Linked DNA regions of Coturnix japonica. The protein of the gene in region 1 interacts with the protein of each later gene in a biochemical or structural test. Links are inferred from orthologs where the notes say so. Each region holds a gene or a part of one and is shown in the gene's direction. Other genes may lie near its edges.

Evidence for each region.
Region 2: the proteins of NR0B2 (region 1) and ESRRG form a complex in vitro, tested with the Homo sapiens proteins (2 studies listed by BioGRID). The link is inferred for Coturnix japonica from reciprocal best matches to the Homo sapiens genes NR0B2 and ESRRG.
Region 3: the proteins of NR0B2 (region 1) and HNF4A form a complex in vitro, tested with the Homo sapiens proteins (4 studies listed by BioGRID). The link is inferred for Coturnix japonica from reciprocal best matches to the Homo sapiens genes NR0B2 and HNF4A.
Region 4: the proteins of NR0B2 (region 1) and SMARCA2 form a complex in vitro, tested with the Homo sapiens proteins (2 studies listed by BioGRID). The link is inferred for Coturnix japonica from reciprocal best matches to the Homo sapiens genes NR0B2 and SMARCA2.

Annotation. Positions count from the first base shown.
Region 1 is NC_029538.1:1,620,842-1,628,497, reverse strand, and holds NR0B2 (nuclear receptor subfamily 0 group B member 2), read left to right. Parts: upstream 1-3,737; 5' UTR 3,738-3,917; coding exon 3,918-4,443; intron 4,444-4,880; coding exon 4,881-5,161; 3' UTR 5,162-6,139; downstream 6,140-7,656. Other genes in the region: nuclear migration protein nudC, read right to left, coding at 1,251-1,328, 1,888-1,983; GPATCH3 (G patch domain-containing protein 3), read left to right, coding at 7,091-7,442. UniProt on the Homo sapiens protein: Transcriptional regulator that acts as a negative regulator of receptor-dependent signaling pathways. Specifically inhibits transactivation of the nuclear receptor with which it interacts.
Region 2 is NC_029518.1:17,711,424-17,718,386, forward strand, and holds part of ESRRG (estrogen-related receptor gamma), read left to right. Parts: intron 1-4,219; coding exon 4,220-4,635; intron 4,636-6,963. UniProt on the Homo sapiens protein: Orphan receptor that acts as a transcription activator in the absence of bound ligand. Binds specifically to an estrogen response element and activates reporter genes controlled by estrogen response elements.
Region 3 is NC_029535.1:4,771,610-4,779,350, reverse strand, and holds the start of HNF4A (hepatocyte nuclear factor 4-alpha), read left to right. Parts: upstream 1-2,770; 5' UTR 2,771-2,908; coding exon 2,909-3,029; intron 3,030-6,114; coding exon 6,115-6,292; intron 6,293-7,062; coding exon 7,063-7,157; intron 7,158-7,741. UniProt on the Homo sapiens protein: Transcriptional regulator which controls the expression of hepatic genes during the transition of endodermal cells to hepatic progenitor cells, facilitating the recruitment of RNA pol II to the promoters of target genes. Activates the transcription of CYP2C38.
Region 4 is NC_029547.1:24,040,139-24,046,806, forward strand, and holds part of SMARCA2 (probable global transcription activator SNF2L2), read left to right. Parts: intron 1-498; coding exon 499-600; intron 601-4,419; coding exon 4,420-4,552; intron 4,553-5,773; coding exon 5,774-5,916; coding exon of another isoform or gene 5,917-5,934; exon of another isoform or gene 5,935-6,553; intron 6,554-6,559; coding exon 6,560-6,595; 3' UTR 6,596-6,668. UniProt on the Homo sapiens protein: ATPase involved in transcriptional activation and repression of select genes by chromatin remodeling (alteration of DNA-nucleosome topology).

The DNA of each region.
Region 1 (7,656 bases):
AGCAATCAGTTTTGTATCCAAGCACCAGCTATTTCTGCTTTGTTTTTAAAGGGCAAAGTGAGCTTTATTTACACAACCTGAGTCCAGCATCTCCTAGGACACAGAACTCAAGACATGCATCAACCAGCCTCTCTTCCTAACTGTACCCACAGGGAGCAAATCTATTTAGCTACATAAGGTCCAATAAGAGCAGCCATGATCCCCAAATCAGGGCTCATCTTCCAACTGCATTTCAGTCCCTGGGAACATAGTCCCCAGGAATCTGAGATATGTCCCCTAATGCAAGGAAAATAGCACTAGACCTCAATTCATTCTTCCTTTGAAACCATCCACTTTCCCATCCCTCACCTGCCTTAATTCTGTTACTTTGAAGACTAGACTAGAGAGTATATTCTGCACTCTATCAGAATTAATGTCTTCCCTAATGCATTTACCATGGCAACAGCACCTGCTTTGCTCACAGGGAGTTCCAGTAGTCCAAAAAGTGCTTACAAGAGACATACACTCTGGCTTTTCCCCTCTATTCCATACTGGCCACGGGACGTAGAAGTATCAGACCCTTCTACAACATCAGCTTCCCTATAATCCCTGCTGCAATCATCCAGAGCTTGAATGCCAGGAGGGCAGAGAGTAACACAGCATCCAGCCAAGCATTACAAAGGAGTTCACATGCTAAGTGAGGGAGAACAGAGCAAGTACAATCGAGAACCCTTTAGAAAGTCTGACTAACTCATGCTGGAACACTCAGCACGTTAATGAGGCAACCTGGAACCAAGGCACGCTCAGTCCTTACAGTTACAGCAACCCAGAGACAAAGGTGCAGCTGCTTGTGTGGAGACGTGGACTTTGAGCTTTTCCTGAGGTGAACAAACAAGGCAACATGCGGTTATCGGCACTGCAGTGTCTGTCACCGTTAAGTCAGTGTGTGTCTGGCAGATTTGCTTTCCAAACAAGCCTCTGGCCAGAGCATGGCAAAAACCTGCAGCACCAGGATCACCTGAACAAGCAATCGTGCCTCACCACAGATAGGGACAGCTCATTGTCACCTGGTTTCAGTGGTGTTTTATCTGCTCATCCCCAAATTCATTAGAGGGTTTGAGGATGGAAAGGAAGGGGGGTTGGACTCGATGATCTCTAGAGGTCCCTTCCAACCCCTACAGTTCTGTGATTCTGTGAAGGCTTAGCAAGGCACAAACATGGCTGACACACAAATCAAAAGACATCACAACTGGCGGGTGGTGGTTTGTTACCTTCTCTGCTACACCATCTTCTCCACCGGTGAAGAAATCTGTTTTACGTCTCAGGAAGCTAAAGAATGTGTTCACAAGCTGGTAGAGGGAACAGGGAAAAAAACAGAGCAATGAGACCAGATCATTCCAAGGCACCTCGTGTCTAATGAACAGCATTTATTCTGTTCTTCCTATCTGTGCCTCTGAGATCAGAGGGGATCACATCCATATATGCTGGCACATATTATGATCAGGATCATCATGAAACACTCTGTTTCCCATTGGCTTGCTTGAAAATCCACCTCCTGGATCAGTTCTACAGGGGAGGCATCTATGTGATCTACATTAACAGAGTGTAGGTATGATATTCACAGATCACACTGGACTTGTACCTATGTGGGCACCCCCAGCTGCTATTCAGACCCACCTCTGTGTCCCATTTGATTTACAAAGGACCAAACTCCTATTGCATCCCATTAACAGCCCCATTACACGCCCCCCATATCAGCCCCATGGAGGCCCCACCGCCTCCAATATGGCGGGGCCGGAAGTCACGTGCTGCCCCCCCTCCTCCTAGGCCCGCCCGCTCCTCCTCCCCCACCCAATAACCACCGGCAGCACAAACGGGCTTTATCCGCCCCGGGAGCGGCGGTGTTACCTCGCACACGCCGCCTTGGTGCTGCTGGGCCATGGCCAGGAGGATGCCATCGAAACGATCCTCCTGCTCCGCCGCTTCCTCCGCGCTCAGCCCCATCCTCTCCGCTCACCGGTCTCCTCACAGCCCTCACGTTACCGCTCACCGGAACCGGAAGCGAGCTGGGCGGAAGCGGAAAGGGAGGTACCGAAATCAACAGCCAATCGCAGCGCTCGTCTGCACCGATGCCTTCGCGGATTGGTCGAGGCCGTAGGCGGGATGGAGAGGCGGGAAGAGTGGAGCGGGGCTCGGTTGCTATGGAGACGGCTGGGCCTGGGCCTAGGCCTTTCCAGAAGGCTCCATGGGGTCGCCTACATCCGGGTACTTTACCCTTGGCTTTACCTGTATCTCCTCCACAGACACCACACAGTTCAAAGAGCCTCTAATCCAGGCCTAAGCAGCACAAAGAGCCTGTAATCTGCAGTATGGACAGGCTATGCTGGTCCCTGTGGCTGCTGTAGGCCTCATTGCTGGGTTCACTCCATTGCACTGAGAGCTGTGTGCATTAGAGTGAGTGGTCCTTATCCCCATAGGGTTCCTATTGCTCCATTAAATCAATCAGCAGGTGCTGCCGCTTCCCCAGGCTGACTTGTGTTGGCCGACAAATGCAGGTAGATGGGTGTTTTTTTGGTGAAAAGCCATCAGTGTGGCCATCAGTTCCATCCCATTTGTGCACCAAGAGCTGCGTGCCCTTAAATCACAGAATCAATCACAGAATGACCCGGGTTGGAAGGGACCTCAAGGATCATGTAGCTCCAACCCCCTGCCTGGCAGGGCCATAAAACATACACATTTACTAGATCAGGTTGCCCAGGAGACCCCATAGATCCCCATAGAGACCCCATAGACCCCATAGACCCCATAGAGACCCCATAGACCCCATAGATTCCCATAGAGACCCCATAGACCCCATAGACCCCATAGAGACCCCATAGAGACCCCATAGATCAGGTTGCCCAGGGCCCCGTCCAACCTGGCCTTGAACACCTCCAAGGACGGGGCATCCACAACCTCCCTGTGCAGCCTGTTCCAGGGCCTAACCACTCTCCTAGTGAAGAACTTCCCCCTAACATCCAACCTAAATCTTCCCTCTTTTAACTTAAAACCATTTCCCCGTGTCCTGCCAAATCACTTGTTCCCATCCTCACAGGGTTCACCAGGCACCCCCTGTGTGAGGAATTCCTCACAGGCCCCACTGGAATCCATAATTGTGTGCTGTCATTTAACTAATGCTGATCAAAACATACAAATTCCAGAGCAATTCAAGGTAAAAACCTATAAACCTGCCTCTCACCTACCCAGCATTACTCCTTCAGCACAATGGGCTGCTGCCTTTAGGTTTAGTCTTTCAGTTCACCACCTTCCTTAACTGCAACAACACCGATCTCCTGTCAACAAGGTTAGGCAAACAGCTGCTGATAAAATGACTTCCAGGTTGCTCTTTCCAAGGCCATTTGCCATGGGGTCCTCGCTTCAGACGAACACCCTGTGTGTGTATGTGTGTGTGTGTATGTGTGTGTGTGTGTGAACTCCTTGGCAGCGACAGCTGCCAGATAGCACAACCTGATTGCAGCGTGGGGCCTTGGTGCCATGGTACAGCCCGGGTTAATGACTTTGTTTATACTGTTTGGGTAATTGTGATAAGGCTGCCCAACCCGCTGCCCCTGCTGGGGTTTCATTGAGAAAACGGCCATTGACGCCATGCTGAGATCCTGCTGGTTCCAGCCAATCAGTCTGGGGACAGCTGGGGTTGGTGGCTTTTTTTTTTTGTTGTTTTTTTTCTTCTTTAATGAGGACCGCTTAATCACGGAGCGGTCAAGGCTGGGAAGGGGTGTTCCACTTGTGACCGAGCCTTATAAGAGCTTGTTTGAACAGCCATGTGCTGGCAGAGCTGGGAGGACAGGTCACTCCCAGATTGAGACGGGGAGGAAACTTACAGGTCTCTCCCATCTGCGGAGTTTCACAGAGGATCCGGGGCTCCCAGTTCTGCTCTGATGACCAGCAGCATAGACATGGACTGCGAGAGGTGTCAGTGCCAGCATGAAGACAAACACCCAGCCATTCTCTACACCCTCCTCAGCCAGAACCTGAGCCACAGCCCACCTCACCAACGCTGCCTGTGCCACCAGCGCTGGACGGTCTGCCTCCGGACACCCCATATCACCTGCCAAGCTGCATCCGACGTGTTGGTGAAAACCATCAGCTTCATGAAAAACCTCCCTTCCTTCCACCTGCTGCCTCGAGGGGACCAGCTCCTGCTGCTGGACAGCTGCTGGGTCCCCCTCTTCCTCCTGGGGCTGGTCCAGGAGACGGTGACATTTGAGGTGATGGAGACCCCAGCCCCCAGCATGCTTGAGAAGATCCTCCTCGATGGCCAAAGCAAAAGGCAGGAGCCTGAGTGGACTCAGCCCATGCTGGCCGCTGTGCAGTGGCTGCAGTGCAGCCTCAACACCTTCTGGAGCCTGGACTTGAGCCCCAAAGAATACGCCTACCTGAAGGGAGCCATTCTCTTTAATCCTGGTGAGTGTTCAACCCTCCCAGCTCTGCCTGCTGGTGGCAAGAGAAAGCCCTGCATGAGTTAGCATTTAAAAACACTGCTCTTGGCTTGGAGTCGCTCAGAGTTTGGGCAAAAGTGTGTGTGAGAGCAGGGAGAGCTGCTCACATCATTAGCACCAGCAATGCAGTTTACCTCTGGGAAGCAGGGAGGAGGGATACTGAAAATGTAGTGTTTAAAAGCAGAGACCTCCTTACCTTGCAATCAAAGAACCCTGGGTCTTACTCTACAAAGCCCATGTTTGCTTCATTAGCTGTATTTACTCCCTCAAAGCAACAGCCCTGAAATACATGTTGTTAATGGCTCTGAGGTTTTTCTCCAAGATACGGGGAGAGAGATGGGAGAAACCTCGAGCTGTTTTCCAGCCTTCCTCTTCACATCCTTCCCTCCTTTCTCTTGGCAGATGTCCCAGGGCTGACAGCCTCCCTGTACATCGAGAGCCTCCAGCGGGAAGCCGAGCGAGCGCTTCAGGAAGTTGTGCAGATCCTACACCCCAAGGACCAGGACCGCTTTACCCTCATTTTACTCATCACCTCCACCTTGAAATCCATCCCTCCTGCCCTCATCACAGACCTCTTCTTCCGACCCATCATTGGCAACGCAGACATTGTCGAGCTCATCGTGGATATGCTGTATGAAATCACCAGCTGGCAGCCGGCTCCTTCACCACGCGTGGCTCTGTGAGCTGCTGTGCTCTGCCACAGCCCTGGGGGTGCTCAACAACACCTGGCAGGGCAGCAGGGAGGACTGTGGAGCAGGCAGTCAGGCACTCAGCTCCACAGGGCTTTGCGTGTGCCTCTCTCTAGGCTGTAGGGCTCAGAGCATAAAGGAAAGCAGCCTTGATTCAGCATGGCTGCTCCACCTCTGCCAGTCTGTTTTGAGGAATGTGAGTGTGTGTGGCTGGTGGTACTGAGTTTCTAGCAAGCAGGCCAGCCCTGTGACACAGAGCAGACTGAGTTAGAGCCTGCTCCAGGCTTTTTATATCTCAGTGAATCCTCAGTTCAATTAAAATCAATGTGTGTTTTGTTAACTCCATGAGATGAGGTTGGACCTCAACTTGCTGCCCGTGATGGCTCTGTGCTGATAGTGGTATTTAGGGGTGCTGAGTATCTTCGGTGGTATCACTTGTAGAGTACAACCAGGTGCAAGCCGTAAGGAATTAGATCTTTAAGTATCAGCCAGTGTCTGCTGTGCATGAAATCTCACAGACAGCCACCAAGAATCCTCCTCAGACAGCAGGAGGGAGAAGCATCAGATCTTACAGGGCGTGCAGCCAGCTTCATGAACGCCTCCTGCCTCTCATCACATCGCATCTCCTCCCCACGATGCCATGAGCTGCAACAGGATTGCTCACAGATTGGATTACCTAAGAGCAGTGAAACGTACGGCAAATAACGCTGCATGAACACCACTTCATCCTCCCTATACACCTCAATATATATATGGCAATACTTGGAATGGCTCAGGAACACACTGAGCTACAGACACTGAACAAACATCCCTGCCTTGAGTTCCAGCTGGTTCAACATAGTAGGAAAGCTCGCTTCTCCTGCCTGCAGCTTTTGTCACTGATGTCAGTATTTAATGAGCGGACCTTCATTTGATTTGTACATAAGATGCAGTAAATTATTTTTTTAATAAAAACGTGTCACATTTTGGTGATTTTTTGTTATATTTCTGGCATTTTGGACTTGTAGAAATAGCTGTTGGAGGTACAGTGTGGGAAGGACACCTGAATGCAGGGATGGAGCATCATAGGGAATCATAGGGGAGCATTGCAATGCAGCCCCATGAGCTGTGCTGGGCACACACTGCTCTGTGCACTGAAACCTGCAGAGGCAGCACAACTGCAGCCTGTCTGTGCTGCACCTTCCTTCACGCACACAGCCACACCTGGAGGTGCTGATGCAGGAGGTTGGTGCTGACTCACCTGGATGTGCACACACAGCCCTCAGCCCACAGGAGAACAGCCATACAAAGCCTCCTGGCTCCCCACCACCATAAACACACCGTGTTTGAACAGCAGCCTGCTGGGAGAACTGTGTGCTGCCCATCCGTGCCAACACACAGCAGGTCGCTTCCAAGGGGATCTCAGCCTGACAGCCCTTCTCCAAAGGGAAGGTGGGTTGGTGTGAGTCACCCCATGATCCCTGCAGGCCCACGCCAGCCACGAGCTGCTCAGCACGGTGACATGTGTGTGAGTCACTGTGTGCTGGGCACACCACACACTGCTGGCACAGTGACCCAGCAGCAGGCAGGATCCCCAGCACAGCGAGCAGCCCCCATTGCCCCCATACCCCATAGCACTGCTGCTCCAGCTGCTCGTTGGGGACAGATTGCCCCGTCCTTGGAGGTGTGCAAGACCAGGTTGGACGGGGCCATGGGCAACCTGATCTATAGGGTCTCTATGGGGTTATAGGGTCTCTATGGGGTTTATAGGGTCTCTATGGGGTTTATAGGGTCTCTATGGGGATCTATGAGGTCCCCCCCAGCTGACCCCATAACTGCAGTTCCCCTCCCAGCCACGAGGCGGCGCCATCCTCCCCACCTCAAGACGGTTGTGACGTCATCACCGCGCGCCCATCCCTTGTGACGCACGGCTGGGTGGACAAGATGGCGGCGCTGAGCTGTGAGCTCCCTAATGGCGGCGCCGCTGCCCGGTATTGCCTGATCAGCGGCATCCCGGCCGCGCTGCGCTCCGCCCATCTCCGCTCCTACTTCAGCCAATTCCTAGAAGCCGGCGGTTTCCTTTGCTTCCACTACCGCCACCGCCCCGATCTCCCTCCTACGGGATGTGATGATCAGGCCTCATCTCCCTCTCGGTGCTGCTGCCCGGTTGCCGTTCGGCCCGGCCGGGCCCGGCGCTTTATCCGCATGTATTCGGGCCGGCGATGGGTCGGGCCCGGCGGGGCCTCGTTGCCCGGCCGCTGCCTGGTCCGCAGGGTCCGGCTCAGCCCCGGGACAGGTAGGACTGGACCCCCCCCTTTGATAAAGCCTTTACCCCTTAATGAAGTTTCCTTAACACCTTGTATCTGTTCTGGGTGTGGGAATCAAATGTTGTTTCTGCATTTAGAATAAGAATGTTTTATTTCAAGGTCTCGTTATATAAAGTGAAGCGATTTGTAGTTATTAGGTACAATGATTGCAGCTCCTGGCTGTCCAGCTGTCTGAAATAGAAC
Region 2 (6,963 bases), on another chromosome or scaffold:
TTTTGTGCTGGTTTATAATAAAGGTGCTCACTGTAATTATTGTGACTAATTACTGCTCACACTGAAGCCACCAGTACAGCTCTGAAATAGTGAATGATACTGTAAGCAGAGCTTTTTGTTCCTGAAATATGCCTGCTGATTAAGAAGTATTGTCCTGGGCTTTTTGACCTCCTTTAGGCATTGACAATAAGGGAAAAACAATTTGCCGAACCAATTGTGTGTGTGGATACGTACAGCTCAAATGGGAAGGCTTTCTTTTTTTAAGGCTATATGCTGTAATCAGATGTGGTTAATTTTTGCACTCTGCTTGTATATTGATACTGATTTAGCTAGTGTCAGCGCTGTCAATATCATTAGCAACGTGGCAGGTAGATGGAAATATGAATGTGATTGCATTAATTAATTCTTAATATATTCAACCTTCCATAAGCACACAGCATATAATTTGCTCGCTATTGTTTAAGGCCACTTTGAAACAGGGCTGGGTTTTGAAGTGCTCCATTGGTGTCCTTTTCTACCAGCAGAAACTGGCTTCAGGTCTCACTCAAAGACAGAAGTCGGGAAGTGAATTTAGCGAGGATGTGAGGAGTTGTACTACATAGTGCATATTACTAGCAGTTTGCAGCACTCTGTGCAGTTTGTCCTGCGTGCAAATGTGGAATGATTCAGGAGCCCATCAGCTGCTTTCTCTGCAGTTCCTCAAAGTTTACCTGAGCATTCCTGGTTGTTTGAAAACTTCCTTGGAGCTGCTGTAGCTTTGACTTAAAATATAGTAAAGGAAAAAAACAACCCCACCAAGGCTTTAAAATAAATACTGCACGTTTTTATATGACACATGTTATTTCTATTCATAAACCTTAACTAAATTTAGATTTTTATTAATCCAATGTGACCTAAAAATTTTGCATTAACAGCACAATGTGGAATTGGGCTTATTCTCTTTGAATGCAGATAAAGCCATCATCTTGAAAATAGCTCTTTCTGACAAAAAGGTGTTCTTTTGAAATAAAGTCTTATTCACTACATTCCTCTTAGAGTTAATGTGAATTTTAGTGCCTCTAATTTTAGATTGAAGTGAGGTTTAGAATAAAATCCACCGGCTGACAATTGAATTTATAGATAGTTGTGAATATTTCAGGCTTGAATAATAGAGCTGTAGAATTTCAGACAGAGAGAGGAAGGGAGAATTAAGCTCCGACTGTAGTTTTAGACTATAATGTGGTGGTGTCTAGGAATTCTTCAGGGTAACGAGCTAAGTAGTAATTAGGAGGAGCGGAGGGAGGGGTTGTAGCCTAGGCAGTGCTCCAGGCTCTGGGTTGGTGGTACAGTGGTGGCCCCAGCTGCCATCCACACAGGGCCTCTTCGGCCATGCTGTGGCAGCAGCAGAGCAGGGTGATGGATGCCAGTGCTACCCAAGGGTGCACAGCCCTTCCCCTGGTTTCCTGCTCTAGGACAGAGAAATTTTCTCTCCTTCAGAACTTGGCTGGTGTTTTCTGCTTCCCGTGGAATGGTTAACATTTTATGGGCCTTACCTTGTCATCCTGCATCAGGCCGGCCCATGCTACGGAAGCTGCAGCTTGAAGCAGCCATATCTTGATCAGCACCAGAAAGCACAGCTCTGGGAGCATCATCAGGCAGGCTTTAGCCTGCACAGAGCTTCTAGTGTGTGTTCCTGCTCGCAAAACTGTGACCGCAGTTCGGTTCTGACTGCTTCAAGTGGAGACAGCCACTTTCACACCGGCTAAAACCAATACATTTGGACAACTAATTAATTGCAAATGGCTTTTCTGGGAAGCGGAGGGTGACTCTCAAGCTTATTATTGCACAAATAAGAGAAAAAGCAGAAGGAGGTTTAGAGAGACAAGAACGTGCCATCAAACTGGGCACAGGAGTCAGTATGCAGAAGGTTTCTTGCTTTATTCTGAGACTTGTCCTGTGGGCTTTTAACAAGAGGGGTAAGAGAAGATCACCTGGTACCTGTTTATTGGTTGAAAAGGACCTCACTGTCAGTGTAAAGAGAAACAATGTAAAAATAAGTTGTTGGAACGTGAATGTTAATTGAGAATTTTAATCATGGCTGTATAAAATTGTGTCAAAGAAAGAGGAGAGAGAGACAGTGCGACACCGTGTTTTAGTACCCTAATAACTTCTAACTCCAGTCTAAGATCGTAATGTATGTGAGAGCGGTCCAGTAATTATAAGGTAATAAGTGGAGTGGTGGTGTAAGTGCTCTAAATTAAAAGGAATTTGCAGAGCTGCTGTAAGTCAGCGCCGACCCGCTTTCTTTCAAACGTTGACTTGAGAAAAGTGCTTAGCCTGGAGTGCAAGTAGAGAGACAAGAGAGAGCTATCTATTAATTACAGCACTCATTAACAGTGACGGCTACAAGGCAGCAGATGCAGAAGAAAAGGCACACGGTACTGCAGGCTGGCAAGGGGATTTCCCCCCCCCTTCCAGTTCTTGAGGAAAGGACAACACAAGCAGGTGGTCCAGTGTAATAAGATATTTCCACAGCTTTAACCTTCCCATTTCCTTGGCTTATTTGCTGACATCAGGTAGCACATTCCTTCCACCTTCCCAAATAAGTATGGATTTTAAGTTTGGGGGTGAGATTTCTGCACATCAATCTGGCCGCTATCCAAATTCACATCTAGCTTATTTTCAGTAGTATGTTCCAGTAAAATTTACAATGATTGAGAGATCCTGAATAATTCTGATGGGCACTGATTTTTATCATTAATCTTATCCTAAGCAAATACTTAGTGAGGAATGGTCAGGCTTTGATCTTGATTACACCCATTGGAAAATATGACAAGTCTCTGGATTGATGTCTGTTTTCCACTGGTTTCCATTTGATTCTGGAGCTTGAGGTAAAAAATCATATATTTAGTACATACACATTGAATACGTACGCATTTATATTGAATATGCAAAAAGTTGAGTGAGTGATGTCGAAATCTCAAAGCTGACTTGAGAAAGTTACTCTGTCAGATTGTCTGCACTCAAGCACTTGAATCATGAATCTATACCTCCAGGTGGGTGGCCTTACGGAGTAGTTGCATTTCTGCTGAAAATGATTCTAGAGAAATGCTCATAACTGTCATCTGTACTTGGCAGCTTCAGATGCTACTGTCAGGAAAATGCTGGGTAAGCCATTTGCAACTGCAGTCTCATAATCACAGCTGTAGAAAATGAAGATGATATCTGATTCATAGAGCTTTCAGATTATTATTTTTGTTCTTTGTTCTTTCTAAAATGCATTTAAAAATAATATCAACCTTGGGCACAGAATGCGCAAGATTTTTTTTTCCCCCTTTAGAAAGTGATAATTTATTGGCTCAAATGTTTTATGATTTTGTTTCAGATGCTTAATTCTGAAAAGGTGAGAACTGAGATAGAATCTCACCTTCTGAAAGACAAAACTTCTATCTAAAATTTCCTCTAATATATTTCTTTAATCCAAGAATGGAACACGTAAAATGTCAGATCCTATAGAGCTGCAGATATATGGGATGCTGGCGTAGTTATTACTGGTTAGTCTGTGGATAATGGCTAGAAAGTAATTGCAGCCAGAGCTGATTAATCATTTCACTTAGATTTTCTGAAAATGGAGTCCAGCCTTAATTACTTGTTAGAGTCCCCAGTTGATGTGCTACTCGGTTACTAAATAGCTATATATATAATAAAGCAATATTAATAAAGAAAAAAAAAAGCTTGTGGGAGACATGCTCTTCAATTCTGAGATGAATTCAATGGATGATGGCTACATGTTTTATTCAAGTGTGTTGACAAATATTAATCACAGAGTTAAACGTGTGTGCTTAAACTTGAAAGTACGTGTCCCTGGTAATTGTGGAATTTACAGAACAAAAATAACTGGTGAAAAAATAAATGTAAAATTTCAGTAATCTAGTGGGACTTAGGAGTGTTTTGACTCCCTGGATGACAGGTTCAGAGTTTAGAGCCGATCTGAAGTTGACATGTAACCTAGAGGGCAGTTGGAGGGGACAACAGACGGGTTTGGTCTCTTAAAGTTTTTGTTTACTGCCTGTCTGGAGCTTTGACAAAGCTCTGTCGTGCCCTTATGCTGATTACCTTCATGTAGAACAAGAGGTATTGACTAATGAATGAATGATGTGCAGTCCCTAACCCTTCCAGAGCAGACCAAGCGAGCACTGTCTTTAATACAGAGATTCCTTTCTCTCTCTCCCTGCTCCAGGCTTCTCTGCAGAATGTCAAGCAAAGATCGACACATTGATTCTAGCTGTTCGTCGTACATCAAGACGGAGCCGTCGAGCCCTGCTTCTCTGACGGACAGCATCAACCACCACAGCCCCGGTGGCTCCTCAGACGCCAGCGGGAGCTACAGTTCCACCATGAATGGACATCAGAATGGGCTGGACTCACCTCCCCTCTACCCTTCAGCCACGGGGCTTGGGGGCAACGGGCCCGTCAGGAAACGGTACGATGACTGCTCCAGTACCATTGCTGAAGATTCACAGACCAAATGTGAATATATGCTGAACTCGATGCCCAAAAGACTGTGTTTGGTGTGTGGTGACATTGCATCAGGGTACCACTATGGAGTGGCTTCCTGCGAGGCCTGCAAGGCTTTCTTCAAGAGGACAATTCAAGGTTGGTGATGCTTTAGACATCTTTTCCTACTTCTGTTCAAAGTGAAGCAGTACAGTCCTTGATTAAATGATGGTACAACTTCAGGCCATAGCTTCTGATTCTTCATAGCATTTGGTCCTACAGATGATACTTGTGAAAAAGCCCCTTTGGGCTTTGCTGTAAGCTCTGTCATGTTAAACTCATTGTTATGTTTATTTTGCTTATCAAAAATAGTAGAGCCATCCAGTGCATATTTAGTTCTTCTTCTCTGAAAGAGTTCCTTGTGGATTCTCATCAATGCTGCCATGCAAAGTGATTATTTTTCTTAAGGTTGTTATGTATACCTCTTGAACACACCTTGCGGCATGCACAAGTTATGCTTGGGTTTTGCTCCTAGCTATATGACTACCATACATAAATCCCTACAAAAATCCTGTATATCTTTATCAAAGCACTAGAGCGTTTAAGAATGGAACAAAATGTAATGCTGTAGTGTTTTGTTAGTGTCAGACTATTAATAAAGTGGCCTTTCACCCGTACAATGTACCATGGCCTTAACTGGTTCACCAAATGGTCTATAAGATCACATTTTAAGGACACAAAGTTGACAGCTTTTGGTCTCTGCCAAGTACCTTGTGTTAATCTGCTCTTGATACCTGTTACAAATATGCCACATATTTTGGCATAAATTAGTTTGAATGGAATAATTTGCACAACCACTTTTTCTAGCTACAGGACCTATGGAGACAAAATAACCTTCTACTTTTATTTAGATATCATCCTTTCAAGTAAAATTGAAGGTGCTTTATTTAAAGAACATGAGGACAGGCTTGGCCTGTACAGGAATATAGTGTCACATTAAATTAAATTCAAACTTCAGAGACTAAAATTAGGCTGCTAAGTCCAAATTTAAGCTCCTCAATAAAACCTCCTTGATTTTCATAGTTGCTGAGCACCTGGAATCCTCAGGAAAGGCACTGCAACCTGGTGGTATGCTTTGCTTTTTAAAACTGAGTTGTAGTAAGGAGAGTCAGGTTAGTTCCAATTTGCAATTTCACGTGGCTCTAAAATTGAAACATTTGATCAAAAATTTTTTTAGATATACTGCCTCCACATTTCATTTACAGTTAATAAACAAAAATAATGTTTCATTTTAAATTTAGCCATTACTAAGGTTTGTTTATTTATTTATTTTTAATTGATCATTTTACTCTCCACAACTAATAGTTGTAAGCATGCTGCTTACTCTGTAAGCATACCACTACTCTGGGGGATTTGGACCTTTTACCAGCATGAATCAGCCATTTCACGATGCCCATACTACCACCAGAAAGAACGAGCAGAGCTCTGTGGTTATAATGGAGCTGATTTTTATGAAGTTTGCGATCAGGAAATAAACATACATTCAGAAATTTCTGGTTACTTGGGTTCAAAAAAGCGTTGTTTGTTTGTTTTAACAAAAGCTGATTTGGTTTGACCTTCAAGAACATTTTTAGGAAAGCTGCTAAATTTCCAATGACAACTTCAGCTTGCAACTTTGATTTTATAAATGGCATTTAATTGCTGCGTAATAGCTATTCTACAGGACTGAATTAGTGCATGATGATTTTAGTTGTATTTTGAGCATCAGAAAATGCATCAAAATCTCTAACTGAATAAAGCATTGACTTCTGGCTGTAATATATAGCCTGCAATTGTACACCACGCCACAGACAGCAAGTTTCTGGGCATGGAAGCACAAGACAGAGACGTCATTCTCCAGATTAGCAACCTGGACTTGGCCACACAGCTCAAGTTAGAACTGGCAGCTGCGCAAAACATCTCAGCAGGGTTAGAGCACTAGCTGCATCAGCAGGTGATGGTGCTGTGAAGACCAAAAAAAAAAGAGCAGTGAGGCAAAGCCTGGCACTGAATGGAAAAGCAGTAACAAAGATACTAAGAATAGGAGGTATGTTACCATCGTAATGTCATGGTAGCTTCTTCCGAAATGATGCTGACTCAACTGATGCAGGCTTAAGAGTTTTCAGATACCATCCGAAAGAATGGAAACTACATATTTTTGGTGAATTAAGCCATCATTTGTATTAAAGGACAAGAAAAAGCTACTCCTTCTGGTTTGAATTGACAAGTTCTTCGTTTGAACTTGCATGAAGAAAAATTCTCCTAAGTCTGATTTGCTACAAATGGCAGAACTTAATGTTTGTAGAGGTCATTCTCCCCTTCCATTTTCTTGCTTCCTGGTTCACAACGCATTCTTGTTCTGTTTGTTTTTAAAACAAATTGGTAGCTGAATCAGTACAGACAAGAAAACTGGGAAAAAAATAGAGAAATTTATAAATACAGGGTAGT
Region 3 (7,741 bases), on another chromosome or scaffold:
TTCCTTCTCTGCTTCCTCAGCTCCGCGCTTCCCTACCTGCTTCCTTGTTGGAACGGCTCAAAGGGCTGCCTGCAAAGCCCTGGCCTTCTTCACAGCTTTCCTGCACTAGGGATGCTCAAGATCCAATGGGATGAAGCCTTGAGCAGCCCGTGCTGCTCTCAGCAGGCCCTGTGTGGTACAGGATGTTGGGTAGAGACTCCTGAGGTCCCCTTTAACCTGAATTGTCCTTTGGTCACACAGCACTCAATTGTGGAGGAGCCCTGTGAGAGGCTCACCCACCTCAGACCAGGAGCTAGCAAGCACGGTATACCCAATGGTATCCTTACCATAAACACCACATTAAATATTCTATTCCCGATCCTCATCTACTGATAAGTACAGGTCTTATTTTCAGGGAATTCCCTTTCGCTTTGGATTAGTTTGCCAAAGATATAAAGTGGAATTTGTGTCATGAGGTGCTATAGTGGAAAAAGACAGAAGGATTTATCGCTCAGCTGATAAAAATCAAATATTCACTTAGCACAGAAGGCTGCACGCCCTGGGGCTGTAATGGCTCCTCTGCAGCCACCTCCTGGCATAGCTGGAGGATACAGAAAACATCTCTATCCCAAAGCATCTGCGGCACATCGTGATCCTATTAACTACTATAGGGTGCGGTGACATTGGCAAGCTGACCCCAAAAGCCACCATGTGGGGATGTGGGACAGAGACATCCAGCAGCTCAGTTTCCAGGCAGGGTCTCTGTGCCATGAGCCCATCCCCAGGGCAAAGGAAGTGCGTAGTGTCCTTCACCCCAGTGCTGAGACAAGGGTTTTGTGAGGGGGCACCAGTAGCAAGAAAATAATAGCCCACATAAACCCACAGATGGAAAACTCTGCATCCCTGCCTCGTGAGCCACTAATGCTCCCCAAACTTCCCCGCTCCTTATCTGCCTCTCCTGCACACAGTGCCTCTCCGTCTTCTGTTCCTGGCTCTCTTAACCCTTCCCACCCTTAGGAGCAAATGGCCTTATTTTGTCAGCAGGCTATTGAAGCAAAAGGGTTGTTTTGCTGAATGGAGCAAAACGGGCCATGCTTTTATGGTATTTTACTAGACACTGTGGCAAATCCTGCACATATTTGACCAAGTGTCTGTAGCATTTATCTAATCAAAGGGATCACTGTGGCCCAAGCAGGGCTGGGACGGAGGTCCCTGGGATGAGGCCACCTCGGGGCTGTGCTCTGTCTCACCACCTCCACCCTGGTGCACATCGTTACTGCAATTTTGGCTCAGGGCTGTTGCTGCTACAGGGGAGAACCACTGACTGCATGAGAATAGAGGTGCTATTTTCCCAGCAGAAGATGATCACTTACTGCCAACCCCAATTAAGATATCAGGAGCTTTTCCTTGCTCTCTGTTTTGCTCCTTGGCTGTAAGGTAAAAGCACTCCCTGGAAGCGGTACATGATGGGAGGCGAGGACTGCCTGAATAATCCTCAGTGCTCCTAAACGTGATCAGCAAATCACTGCACCAACAGCACGTTTCACTGTGGGGCCACGGACCTCAGGGCCACACTGTGGCTAGGAGGGGTTGGGGAGTCAGGGCTGTGCTGGTGCACTGAGAAGCACAAACACAAGCAAGTTTGGAGCCCAAATTGGCAGCGTGTGGACTCGGTCACCTGGTGCTGATTGTGAAATCAAGGGGATGTTTTCAATGCAGAGCGAGCTGATGCTGAATCATTAATTGCTTGTTTTCCCGTGCCATCCAGACGACGCCGTTGGGTAATCAATTAAATCTTGCATTGTCATGTGGTGCAAATTGCACTGAAACTTGTCAGCCCTGCAGAGGAAAAGCAGGGGGCCCAGAGAGTTCCTGGGGTGGGCAGGGGGGAAGCAGGAGCCCTGCTACTCAGTGGGGTCCTGACACAACACCTTGGTGATGCCAGCAGGCGTGATGCAGCGGAGAGCTCTGCTTGGCTGAATTCATAGAAGGAAAAATCATGCTGCAGAGTCAAGCCCTGCTGCACCATAAAACACCCAATGAAACTTTTAAGAGGCCAAAGCCAGGCCAGGGTGTGTGTGACAGCAGGCAGCCCATTGCCAGGACAGAGCAGCCTGGCTGTGCCCAGCGCACCCAACCAGCCCCACTCGTCCCTTCACTATCCCTTCTGTTGCGTGCCTGGCACTCAGGCAAACCCTCACCCCAAAGGTTGTTTGGGCACAGCTCAGGAGCGGGACCTGTTTATAGGGCATTCAGCCCCTGTAAAACTGGGTTTATAGGGAAGTAAAATGAGTCCTACGTTGTTACTTTGCATAGCAACGTGTAAATCGCAATGTGGGTGCTGACCTTCCCTGGGAGGGAAAGGGAGAGGAAGGGAAATGCTTTGGGAGGGAGGGAGAGAGAGAAAGGAGGGATCAGGAGTGAAGGCAAAGAGGGGAACGCAGAGGTAGGAGTGGGGCACAGCCTTGTTTCCCAGGCAGGGATTTTTCCAGCCTTCCCAGCACTGGTGCAGCCCAGCACCAAGGTCAACAGCCCCACAAAGGTGTTCCCTGAGTGGTGAGTGCTTCTCCCCGTGTGTTCCTGGGAGCTGGGATCAGCACAGCGCCTCGAGATGCAATCATAAACAGTCAACAAGAATCACTGCAGCTCCACCAAAAAGAAAAAAAAAAAGCCAAGCCAACAGCCAGGCAGCAGCGTTAGCCAAGTCAACAGCTACAGCCACCCAGCGTTAGCAGTGGGTGAGATGATTAAAGATTAACCCCCTGCCTCCACCCCTCTGAGGAGTATAGGTCTTGAGGCTCAGCAAATCCTTTCAGAGAAATATTTGAAATAAAAGACAACAGATAGGGGACGCAGTGAAGGCACAGAGAGGCAGAAGGGCCAATAGCCTCGGACAAGGGAATCGGCACAATCTGGCCCGTGTTTGCCGATGATAATGCGCCTTTCCAAAGCCCTGATAGACATGGAGATGGCCGATTATAGCGCAGCGCTGGACCCGGCGTACACCACCCTGGAGTTTGAGAACATGCAGGTGCTGGCCATGGGCAGCGGTAAGTCCCCTCCGGTGGCGACGGGACGATGCATCCCCAGGGTGGTCACTGAATGGACTGAGGAGGGTGGGGGGCACGGTGGGGATCCTGCTGCCCCCAGAGGGAAAGCGAGGTGCCAGAGAGGTGCCCTGGAGCCTCGGGAATGGGATTTGTGGTTCTCAGCAGCCTTCAGACTGAGCTGAGGGCAGAGGGGTCTTGTCAGTCCTGGGCTCCCACAGAAAGGAATAAAAGAACCAAGAAGTGCCAACAAACTGCTACCTGTGGCTCAGCAGAAAGCCAGCCCTGTTCTGTAAGAGCAGCTGGAGCTGAATCTTCCCAACAGCAGAAAGCTGCTTGGTGCATGGCCAGGGTGCAAATCATCCCAAAATGCCACCCAAGGGCTGCTCTGAGGCCATGGCCCCGCAGTGCTGCTGTTCAGGGGGAGCACGGGGCCTGCAGTGCTGCAGGGCTAAGGGGGGGACCCGGCTGGAAGGGAGACAGCAGCCCTGGTTAGGGGGAGATGGGCTCCCTCAGCAAGGTGGGATCACACTGAACCTGCTAGAATTTGCAATAGTGGCCCATCCAGTGCAGCGCCAGCAGCACAGCTTTCCTCAGGATGAAACTCTGCTCCCCATGAAACTGAAGCTGCACATCTCCCTGCCCAGGGCTGGCCCTACATGCCCCAAAGCCACTCCTTAGCCCCACCAGTGAGCAGCTGAACCTTTGGGACAAGGCACAGCTCCACTCCCAGCAGGGAGAAGCCAGGGGACCTGCCCTGCACAGGGGCTGTGAGCTGGGTTCTGCTACATCTGGGGGTCCTACAGGACTGGCCCAGGCACAGTGTCACATCCCACAGCCTATGGGCAGATGAGCCAGCTGGGTTATGGGGCATTGGCTCTGTGCTGCATGTGCCCAGCACCTGGCAAGAGGCAGGTACCACACAAATTAAATATAACTCCAAATGAATGGCCATTAAACTCACTTCACCACAGCAGCCAGAAGTCCATGTTTCTGGCATTATAAAAGTAAGCTTAACTGGAAAGTTATCCATTAAGAAATTGTTCTATTTCTGGTCAGCTCTTAGATCAAGAGGGTGAGATTTCTTTGGTAACTTCCTTACCTGTTTGCAGCATGATACACACACTGCTAGAGGAGATTTATGTGAACCATCACAGATGAGCATAGTGATTGGGTATGGGTTGGCTCTGTTTTCCTCTCTTGCAAAGCTCCACATTTCAATGGAACTGAAAACCTAACATTCTTCCTGGAAGAAGCATCATCCAGCATCACCCAGCTGAGCCCTTGGAACGCAGTCAGAGGAAGGACCTGGGAGGAAAGCTGCTCGCTCTGCCCTGCAGGACTGAGGGACACATGGGCCCGGCACTGAGGAGCAGAGGAAGGAGCCTCCAGAGCTGGCACAGGAACACAGCTCCTCAACCCTGCAGTACAGCAGGGTGTGCCGGGCCTGGAGAGAGCAAACTGTGACTCAGGAGAGCAATAGAGGAAAGATGTGAGGAATTAGAAAGAAAGCAGGCAGGGAAGTGAGAGCTGCTGAAAGAGCTGGTGGAGATGCCCTGCATGAGCTCACTGCTGGGATCACAGCAGGCACCCCAGGTCACTTGTACCCACACATCTACATCAAGGGGCAGCATGAGGAGGTTGTGTACATCCTGCTGCAGAGCCCACTTCAACCCATTTCCTGCTAAGCAGAAACTAAAGTTGAAGCCCTACACCTGATGTACTTACCTTAACCCTCTACAACTCACAGTTCCCAGTCAGCAAAGGCACCCCCCATATCCTGGGACCAGCCCTCTCAGAGCATTTATCCTTCTGCAGCCCCTCTCTGATGGGAGCCAGGTGGGAGCAAATGCGGCCCTCCTGGGTAAGTGTTAATTGCATCCCTGCCAAACCCAATGGGGGTGTGGGGAAGGAGAAGGTGAGAGGGGAGATGAGGAGCACTGAGCTGTTCCCCATAGCCTTGGGGAGGTCAGTGCTCACCCCTCAAAGTGACTGCCAGGCCCTCAGAAATGCAAGGTGAATGTTCTCTGGGAGCCCTGTTGGTTGTACAATGCCCACCTCTGTGCTATGGGATGCAGGCTGGGTCACGAGCAGTGCCTGAGAGGTCCTCCTTGCTATTCTGTCATCCTCTGACCCTCTGTTGGCCTGCTGATCTCCACTGCTGTCCTTTGAGAGGGCTGTTAGGATTGACATATTCCGGTGTTAAAGTCTCAGTAGGTTTCTATGGCTTTGTAGATCCTAGGTGTATCATTTGCAAACGGGATTTCCTCTGAGTCCCATGCTGATACAAGAAAATGTGCTTGGGAGGGGACAATTAGATCAACTGAATAGTGAGCTGATCCCTTCAGCCTTGGGGTTTGTTTGGCTTGCCGGAGGGATTTTAGTCTAGGGCTTGTATGGTTTTGAGCCTTTCAGGTGTTCTCTCCTACACAGGCTGCTGCAATTCCCCACCCTCCCAAAAACACACTACACATACCAGTCCCCTTACAGCTTGTAAGGACTGCAGGGTGCATCTCACATCCCATACTCTGGAAGGTACCCAGCATACAGCCTTCGCCATGTTATAGTGCTGTCCTTTCTTTCTGGGTTGTCCCAGTCAGTCCCTCCTCACATGGTGGGTATTTGTCCATGAGTTCTCCAGCTGAAGCCATATGCAATTATTGTGCACTAACAGCCTCTTGAAGCCTCTTTCAGTGCAGTAACACCAACACTTCGCTATCAAACCAGCAGCTCACCCCAAGCTGTAAAACCTCAGCTCAAACTGCACCAACTCGTTCTCTGGCCATACTGCAGAGGCCCAAAGCATCTGCAAATCCCCCAGGAATTTTGGCTGTGCTTTGTGACAGCTGCAAACGGGTTTCTGTGTATCCTGAAGGCATTGCTGGAGTCGGGCCTTTGGGAAGAGCTGCTCACCCTGGCGCAGCAGCAGCATTAGCACATTCGAGATGCAAAGACTTGGGACACCCGGAGCACCCACCACTTCTTATGACCTGCTGCAGCTGCCCAGTTCTTTGGTAACTTGCTGGAAAAGGAGTTAGGAGTTGTCAGCTGTCTGTCTCACTGTGTTCTTGCTGTGTCCTTTCCCAAGCAGACACATCTCCATCAGAAGCAGCCAACCTCAACACTTCCAACAGCATTGGGGTGAGCGCACTGTGTGCCATCTGCGGGGACCGTGCCACAGGGAAGCACTATGGGGCTTCCAGCTGCGATGGCTGCAAAGGCTTCTTCAGGAGGAGTGTGAGGAAGAACCACATGTACTCCTGCAGGTAAGGGCAGAGGGGAACAAAACAGCACCCAGCAGCTGTGCAGCAAAGCTGAGTGCTGCAGCATGGCCCTTCATCTCCTCTGTATCCTCCAGTGTCTTCCCTGACCTCATCCTCTGGCGATAAGCTCTGGACTTAGTGCATGTGAAGCACACGGCTGCTTGCAAGGCAGGGCTGTTTAGGCTGTCTGTCCAAGAAGACCCCTCCCCACAGCTCTAGTGGGAAAAGCCAAGGCTCCCAGTTCTCCTGACACCAGATCTTTTATGACAGTGCTTAAAGATCTGCTTTCTGGCATCCATTTGAGCAAATCTTAGCTTGGGGCTTTCAAAAGTGTGTTACAAACAGGCCTTCCCAGAGCTACAGAACTCTGCATGGCTGGGAGCCCTTTCATAGATCTGTATGCCTTTGTCTTTGCAAGCTTGATCAATCAGCAGCTAATCAGAGCATATTTGCAAGTGAAATTCATGCTGCAAATGGCTACCAGGCTTATGCTGCATACGGGAGATCAGTGTAATGCACCGTCATCTGCAATCAATGTGGTGATACAAGTGGGTAGGGAAGGAGCTGGGTGCTTGCCATCTCCTCTCTGAAGCACAGGCAGCTCAGAGCTGCTTGTGTGCCAGCGATGCTGTCCAGAGGTCAGCAAGAACCTCCTGGAGCCAACACTGCCTTGGAGAGATGTGGGGACTTCAGCCCACTTCTACCCCTCCCCTCTCCCCCTCCCCTCTCGCAGGCTCAGTCTCACTGCTCCTCACTCCTCTGTTTCTCCCCAGGTTTAACAGGCAGTGTGTGGTAGACAAAGACAAAAGAAACCAGTGCCGATACTGCAGGCTTAAGAAGTGCTTCCGAGCAGGGATGAAGAAGGAAGGTGGGTGCCTTCCCCTCCCTGCCCTCAGCACAGACCAGCCCTCCCTCATGGCAGGACAGGGAGATGCTGGATGTTTCCATGAGCCCCAGGCAGGTCCAGCTGCCCACTTTAAGCCATACAGAGCCCTTGCACTCAGTTAAGCTTCAATCTCAGTTCCAGGGGCCCTATTCAGATGCCAAGAGAGAGCCACCAGCCCATGCCCATGTCCCAGAACTGACCACCCCCCCCCACCTTGTACCCACAAGTCACATCCACAGCTTTCAGCTTCTCACACTGAGATGCACGAAGCTCAGAAGAGGCCTGAGTCATTCAGGAGCACTTTGGGAGAACTGCTGTGTCACCTACAAATCCATGTCTGGACAGGTGGCTCCAGCAAAGCGTGCAACAACCCTTTTGCATCACAGTTTGCTCATGAGGATGTAGGTCCTTTAGGGCCCTGTGCAGAGAGCTGAGTTGTATCTGATACATCAGCCATAGCAGGGACACCTGGGGCTGCCGGTGGCCCTGTCATGCTAGTAGCCCCACTGCTGGCCCTGCTGGAGGAGAAACAAAAGTCCTGCCCCAAGGATGCCAGCCTGCGGGAA
Region 4 (6,668 bases), on another chromosome or scaffold:
AAGAACCATATAAATAAATCTTTAGCAAGATAATACCTGTGGGAGAATATATCAGTCCCTGAACTAATCTGCAAACACAGTTTGGCAGATGTTTTTTTGGCAACTTCTTGAGCATTAGATGATGTAACTCTGTAATGCTGTCCATATCATAGCATATTGTATGCCTGTGCAGGGAAAAAGAAATAGAAATTCCTTTTAGCAGAAAAGCTCAATTTTGTATTTTTTGTCCCTTCCACTCCACACAGCAATTGCATGTTGTTTTTTGTTTAATTTTTTAACCTATTGCCCTATTGTGATACTTTTTTTAGTATTACATTATTTATATGTTTTATTGTTCCTTAGTTTCTTTTAAACAGGCACTTGTTTTGATGCATTTTTAAAGACAATGTATTTTCAAAAACTAATTCTATGTCTTGTCTGCTGTTTTTTGTTTTGTTTTGTTTTTTTCCTGCACCACTGCCTCTCTGAACTTCTCATTTTCTTCAACAAATGCAACAGGAAAGAATTCGCAACCATAAATATCGGAGTCTTGGGGATCTGGAGAAGGATGTCATGTTGCTGTGTCATAATGCTCAGACATTCAATCTGGAGGGATCACAGGTCTGACCGAACTAATAATTGCACATACAGGTTTTCCCTTCCTAATGCTTTCAGTTCTTAATTGGTGATTATATTGTGCCTATAAATGCTGTGTTTTAATTCGTATTTTAAATAGAGGAAATTGACAGATTCTTGGAATTATCCAAAGTTCTCTGGTCACGGCTGAAGTGGGAGCATGCAGACAATTTGGTTTTGAGTCCAGTTCTAAGATCAGCTTGTTTTGATCTGTGTGTAGTTCCCAGCTGTTGTAAGACCATTTGAATCTCTGCTGGGTGCCTGTTCATGTAGAGTGATACATGGGTTTAGGCTACCAGATTGGATGGCAGAAGGAGCAGGTATAATAGTACAACTTTATTCCAGAGGCAGAGGAAGTGCTTAGTAGTGAACTCTTCAGGTCTTCTAGTACAAGATAGAAATTCAAGGTCCAGATGTGCAGTTTGTGTATGAGTTTATATAATATTCTCTTAACCTTTGGGCTGATCTTTCTTTCTATATCCATCTTGAAAGTTAGTAATTCCAGTTGAGCCTCAGAGGTTTGCAAAGCAAAATTCTAACCTCAAATGTTTTAAAGATACGATTGTGTTCAGTCCTGTAAATTAGGAACAGAGGATACTGATGCAAAATGAGAGACTACAAAATCTGGATAACAGATGAGAAAATTGTCACGTGATGTAGTGAAATGTAGCATAAGATGCATATTTTTACAGTGGAGCCTAAATTGTGGGATACGAATACAGTATGAAATTGAAGTAAAGGACATGAAAACCACATCAATAATGTGAAAAAGAAAAATAAAAATTCCCTTCAAGAAGCCTAGGTAAATTTAGCTGGAGGTTTCATGTTGCCAGGATTAATGCATCATCTGAATAACTATACGTTATTGATAACGCTTTGCTAAACAGGTGAGTTTATATGAAAAATTGAGACATAAGAATGAAATTGAGCATGCAATTAGATAAAGGATTGATGAATACAATTGTTTGTTTTGTGTTTATTTTTCTTATATAGAGACAGAAAATGCTTTCTGTTATACGTATGTGTGATATTTTTACTGTGTTATGTGGAAGCAGCCTATAAAAATATCTGTTAAAATTATTTTAATAAAAATAATGACAAATCGAATTGTGAAACAGAACCTTTACTAAATGTCCAGAAGTAAATTACCAGTTTACTGCTAAGTCAAGTAGCTGTGAATTAAATAAAAAACAAACTAAAAAACAACAACAAACACAAGAAAAACCCACCCAGAAAGTACCATTAAAATTGTTTAAGGGAGAGAATGACAGTAGTTTAAAAGGGATAAGTAAAAAGTAGTAGATATGTGAAAAAAACAGTTATGCTGATGGGAATGAGTTGCTAATCCAGACTGGAGGTGATAGATAATCCACTGGAGGTGATAGATTTGATAGGAACACTCTTGGATGGGTATAAACATTCAAGATTTTGTTACCCTGTTTGGAAATAGGTTAACCAGCTTCAGAGTTCTTTTCCGTGCTAGCAGACAAATTTAACTACCAGAGTTGGTATTGCCTTTTATTGTATAAAGGCCAAAAAACCAGTATCTAGGTTTTGTTTGTTGTTGTTTATTCGTTTTGTTTGTTCAAGTTTTTATGTTGTATTCTCCTAACTTTTTGTTTCCAGTGAATTGTGGGACATTTTTCCACTTGTCCTCCAGTTTTCAAGCTTCCCTTACATTTGTGATAGTTCAGTTCTATCCTTGCTGTGACGTACCAGTTTACTTGAATAAACCGGATTATTGTGTGCACACCCAAAACAAAACGGCTACTTTGAGCAGAGCTGTTCAGATACAAAGCAGCATCAAGTGAAATTCTGCATGTTCTTTTTATTAGTGTTGATACATTTTTCTTGTGGCCAAGGAATTCCATTCGAGCCAGAACCTGATGAGNGACAGACAGACTTCTTTTTGAGACTTCTGTGCTCAGTTTCACAAAGTTTTTAATGTTGTAATGGTCAAATGAAAAACAGACATGTAAGAAGTGCATGTCTTTTGGAAGAGAACATTTTTTTTGTTTAAGAGTTTGCAGAATTTTAAGTTTCTTTGTTACTGTTTTTTTCCTGTTTTGAAGGAAATTTTGCTGCTATTGCTGGTTTTTTTTTTGTTTGTTTGTTTTTTTTAATGATTCTTGTTGGAATCAAATTATTTATTAAAGTAAGAAAACTTTTTATTTGCCTCGCTTTTCTGAATGCAGCCGTAAGTCTTTTCTGAGTCATAATAACCAGTGAGTATCTACAAAGAACTCCGTATTTAGAAAGATGCCATTTTTAAAAATCCCTTTATTTCTCTACGAAATTCTGTTAAAAGGTCCAGATCACAGTGAGATCTTAAGTATGTATTGACTGGAGTTCAAAATACAATGTTGTACTCTTCTTTAATTATTGTTATCTTAAAAATGTGTTTTCTCTGAGGAAAGACTGGCAGGTTATTGAGGGGCAACCCTAAGAATAATGTGATATGCTAGGCCTATGGGAACAAAAAAGAAAAACTAGGGGTCTTCTAGGGATAGGAAGCTTTAAAAATGTTAGGTGTAAAAGAATATTGGTGATGATTACCCTTCAAGGAAAAAAAAACAAAACAAAACTCTGGGATCTAAAATCCCATTAGAGGCACAATACAAAAGGGAAAAAAGCCACTTCAAAACAGTTGTAATGGTTATGTATCTTGGGTGTTGAGAAACACTTGTACCCTATTTATGAGCCATCTTGACATCTCTTAACAAAAGCCACTGGAGTACATATGGAGTTGGGAACAGGGAACTAGCTGCATTGAAAGGCACTTTTTCTGAAAGGTACTTGAAAATAAACTGAAAGAAAAGTTTGTGTATTTCATATGAAGTGTTCTGAACCAAGTTTTTCTAATTCTTTTTACTGAACCTGCGAAGTGTGAGAGTGGTTTTATCAGTTTTTTGTGTATAGCTTGTGTAATGACAGCCAAAAATCTTCCCATTATTTTTCTCACATATGGACAGTGTTACTTTACACAAGAAAATATTTTGTTTAACTGAAGGAGTAAGTGAGGATGGTGAGGAAATCACATACAGTTCATGAGCCTTTACTGTTACATATATAATTGTTCTTAATTATCCAGTGCTTTGTCTTCTTACCAAGAGAAGCAGACCGTCTCCTTTGTTAAGATGTTTGTGAAGTCTCAGTTGGGGAGACTATGATATCTCTGTTACGTTAATCTGAGAAGTGCATTAAAAGCCAGATGTGGTCTCATATATGGATGCTTGACGTTGAAAATCTGATGTGACAAAAGCTCTCAGCAAGTTAGCCCATGTTCAAGATAAGGTGTTAAGCTTTGGATAGGCACTGATTTTTCAGTCCTTTTAGATCTGCAGGGAAGGATGGGATGCTTGGGATAAATTAATTTTCAAGCAGCTGTTTTGGGCTTCTGGAAAAACAAATGATAATTAACATAATCCACTTTTGTAATTGAAGAGCTTACTGCTGAAGGTTGTCATGTTGGGAGGTTTTCAACACATAAAATGTAATGAAGACATGGAAGAGCCCTTGTGCTATTAGAAAGGGTAAAGAAAAACATTCTTGATTGGACTTTTAAACATATTTTAAGACTTCTATTTTTGTGAAAAATTTATTTATCTTTATTGACAATTTCTTTTTTTTATTCAGGACATTAATATTTTATGTTTATATTTCTTGTAAAGCATGCAGTGTTACTTGTAATTTGAAAAGGCTGTATATTCTGTAGGCTTCCAGCAGAAATGAAGGTCTGCAGTATGAATTTTTTCATGTTGCTTGATTTTACAGCTCTAACATAGGTTTGTATTTGCATTGTAGATCTATGAGGATTCTATCGTTCTTCAGTCCGTGTTCAAAAGTGCACGACAGAAGATTGCCAAAGAAGAGGAAAGTGAGGATGAGAGCAATGATGATGAAGATGATGATGAAGAAGAGGAGTCAGAGTCAGAATGTGAGTCCCCTCTAAATAAAGAAAATGTGGGGAGTAATTAAATGTTCTGGTTTCTGCTGTTAGATTGAGTTTTCCATAAAGGTATGTAACTTTTCACAAAGTTTACTGCATTCACCTTACGTCTTTGTTTTCTATTTCTTCTGGCTGTATTTCTTCATAGTAAGCTATTTTCAAACAATAGAAACAAACAACAGAAGAGCTACATGAAAACAGGTTTGACTGGCCATGACTGTTGATAAACCCTTTTTGTTCTATTCATATAATTTGTAAATAAAAGTAGTAGAAGGTTTAAATACAGTTTTGATCCACGAGTGATCAGCCTTTCAGGCATGATGCAGCATGAAAATCATCACCTGGTAAAGACAATGGTGCAAGTATTCTTCAGAGGGACAAGGACAATGTGAAACTTGGATTGTTTCAGAAGCAGGAGGTGACACCCATTCTTCAGAGGGCCAAGTTATGGGATAGGACAAGGCTGGACATAATGTCCTGCAGGTATTCAGGGTGTGATGTAGGAAAAGCTGGAGCATGTATTCTAAGAAGGAGAATGTTGAAACATTGTACTAGTATGTTCTCTCCCTTGGTGAAATTATTTGTCTTTTCCAGTTTGAAATTTAATGTGGTGCCTATATACTGTTCCACCGATTAATTAATGTATTAAAAGTGTCCTAGTATATTGACAGTCACAGGTGGAGCAAGGATTTCCCATACAAAAGATCTATCTCCATACAGCCTTTCAGTTCTCCTTGCTGATTTGTATTTCTTTGGTAGAAAAAGAAAAAGGTGATTTTTATTCCAGATCTGCCAGTCATCTCCTTTATTGTTTCTCATCTCATTTATTGTTTCTGTAATTTAAAATGACACAGTTGTTTGCTTGTACAAAGGATAAACTTGTCTATATACAAGTAAGAAAGTATTTTTATGTTTGCATCTTCCCACAAAACCAGATACTACCTGCTGAACATGAAAAAGAAGAGGTGTAACAGTCAAGTTATACTCCATAGCTTAATACAAGTTATTGCTACAGTAGTCAAGAAGTAGAGAAGTAAAAGCAAGTATCTCTGGTTAATTGTTCAATGGTCCGGGAAAAAAACAGGGAGAGCATCTTCTTCTGCTACCAGGCGAAAATTTCTAAAAACAGAGACAGCACTTAAAAGTTGATAGGTGATTTTCAGTAGTTTATTTTATTCACAGTCATGTATACTTTTACACTTTCTGCAGCAAAATCTGTGAAAGTCAAAATCAAGCTGAATAAGAAGGATGAAAAAACTCGGGAGAAAGGAAAAGGCAAGAAGAGGCAAAGCCGAGCAAAAGCCAAACCTGTTGTGAGTGATGATGATAGTGATGAGGATCAAGATGAAAATGTAAGTTTTGTTGACTGAGACTGTGGAAGTGGTTACAGTGATTGCGTCTCTGCCCTGTCCTACTCGCTGTCAGAATTCTCACCTATTCATGCTTAAGCACATATTTAATCTGTATTCATCATCTTGAGAGAATTTGGCAAGGGTGTTAACTGTGTCTGGGTTTGTTTAGGAGATCTGGTCCCAGTGCTGAAAGACAAGAAGTCTTAATAGTTTGGGAAGTTTAGAGCTTATTTCTTAAAGCTGTCCCTACCTTCCTAGAACCTTTAAGTCTTGTGGTTTGTTTGCTTTCATCCCCAAACGAAAAATTCTTAGCTTGATTTTTTTTTTTTTTTTTTTTTGGTAGTTGCTTCTATAAATGTAGCAAATGAAAAAAGAACCCTTCCCAGTTGTTTTTAAACACCTGGATAGATAGAAATACTTGATGTTTCCTTACTTGGTGTCTTTTCTTCTCTAAAGAAGCCTGCAGCAACTGCATTAAATGTCTTGAAAGAGAAATACTAGATAACTACATTTCTTAAGGCTACTTTGATTTGTCGATTTAATTGTCATCTTCCTTCCCTTTTCTTACTTTTTTCTTCTTTAACAAATTCCACAGAATAGCTGGCAAAGAATTTCTCACTTGTCTTGTGTCTCTTACCTCTAGGACCAGTCGGAAGCAAGCGGAAGTGATGATGAGTGATCCATAGGGTTTATTTTCTTGGCAGAACTGACCCCTTCCCCTTCTCTTCTCCCTTCTCCTGTTTTACACCCAG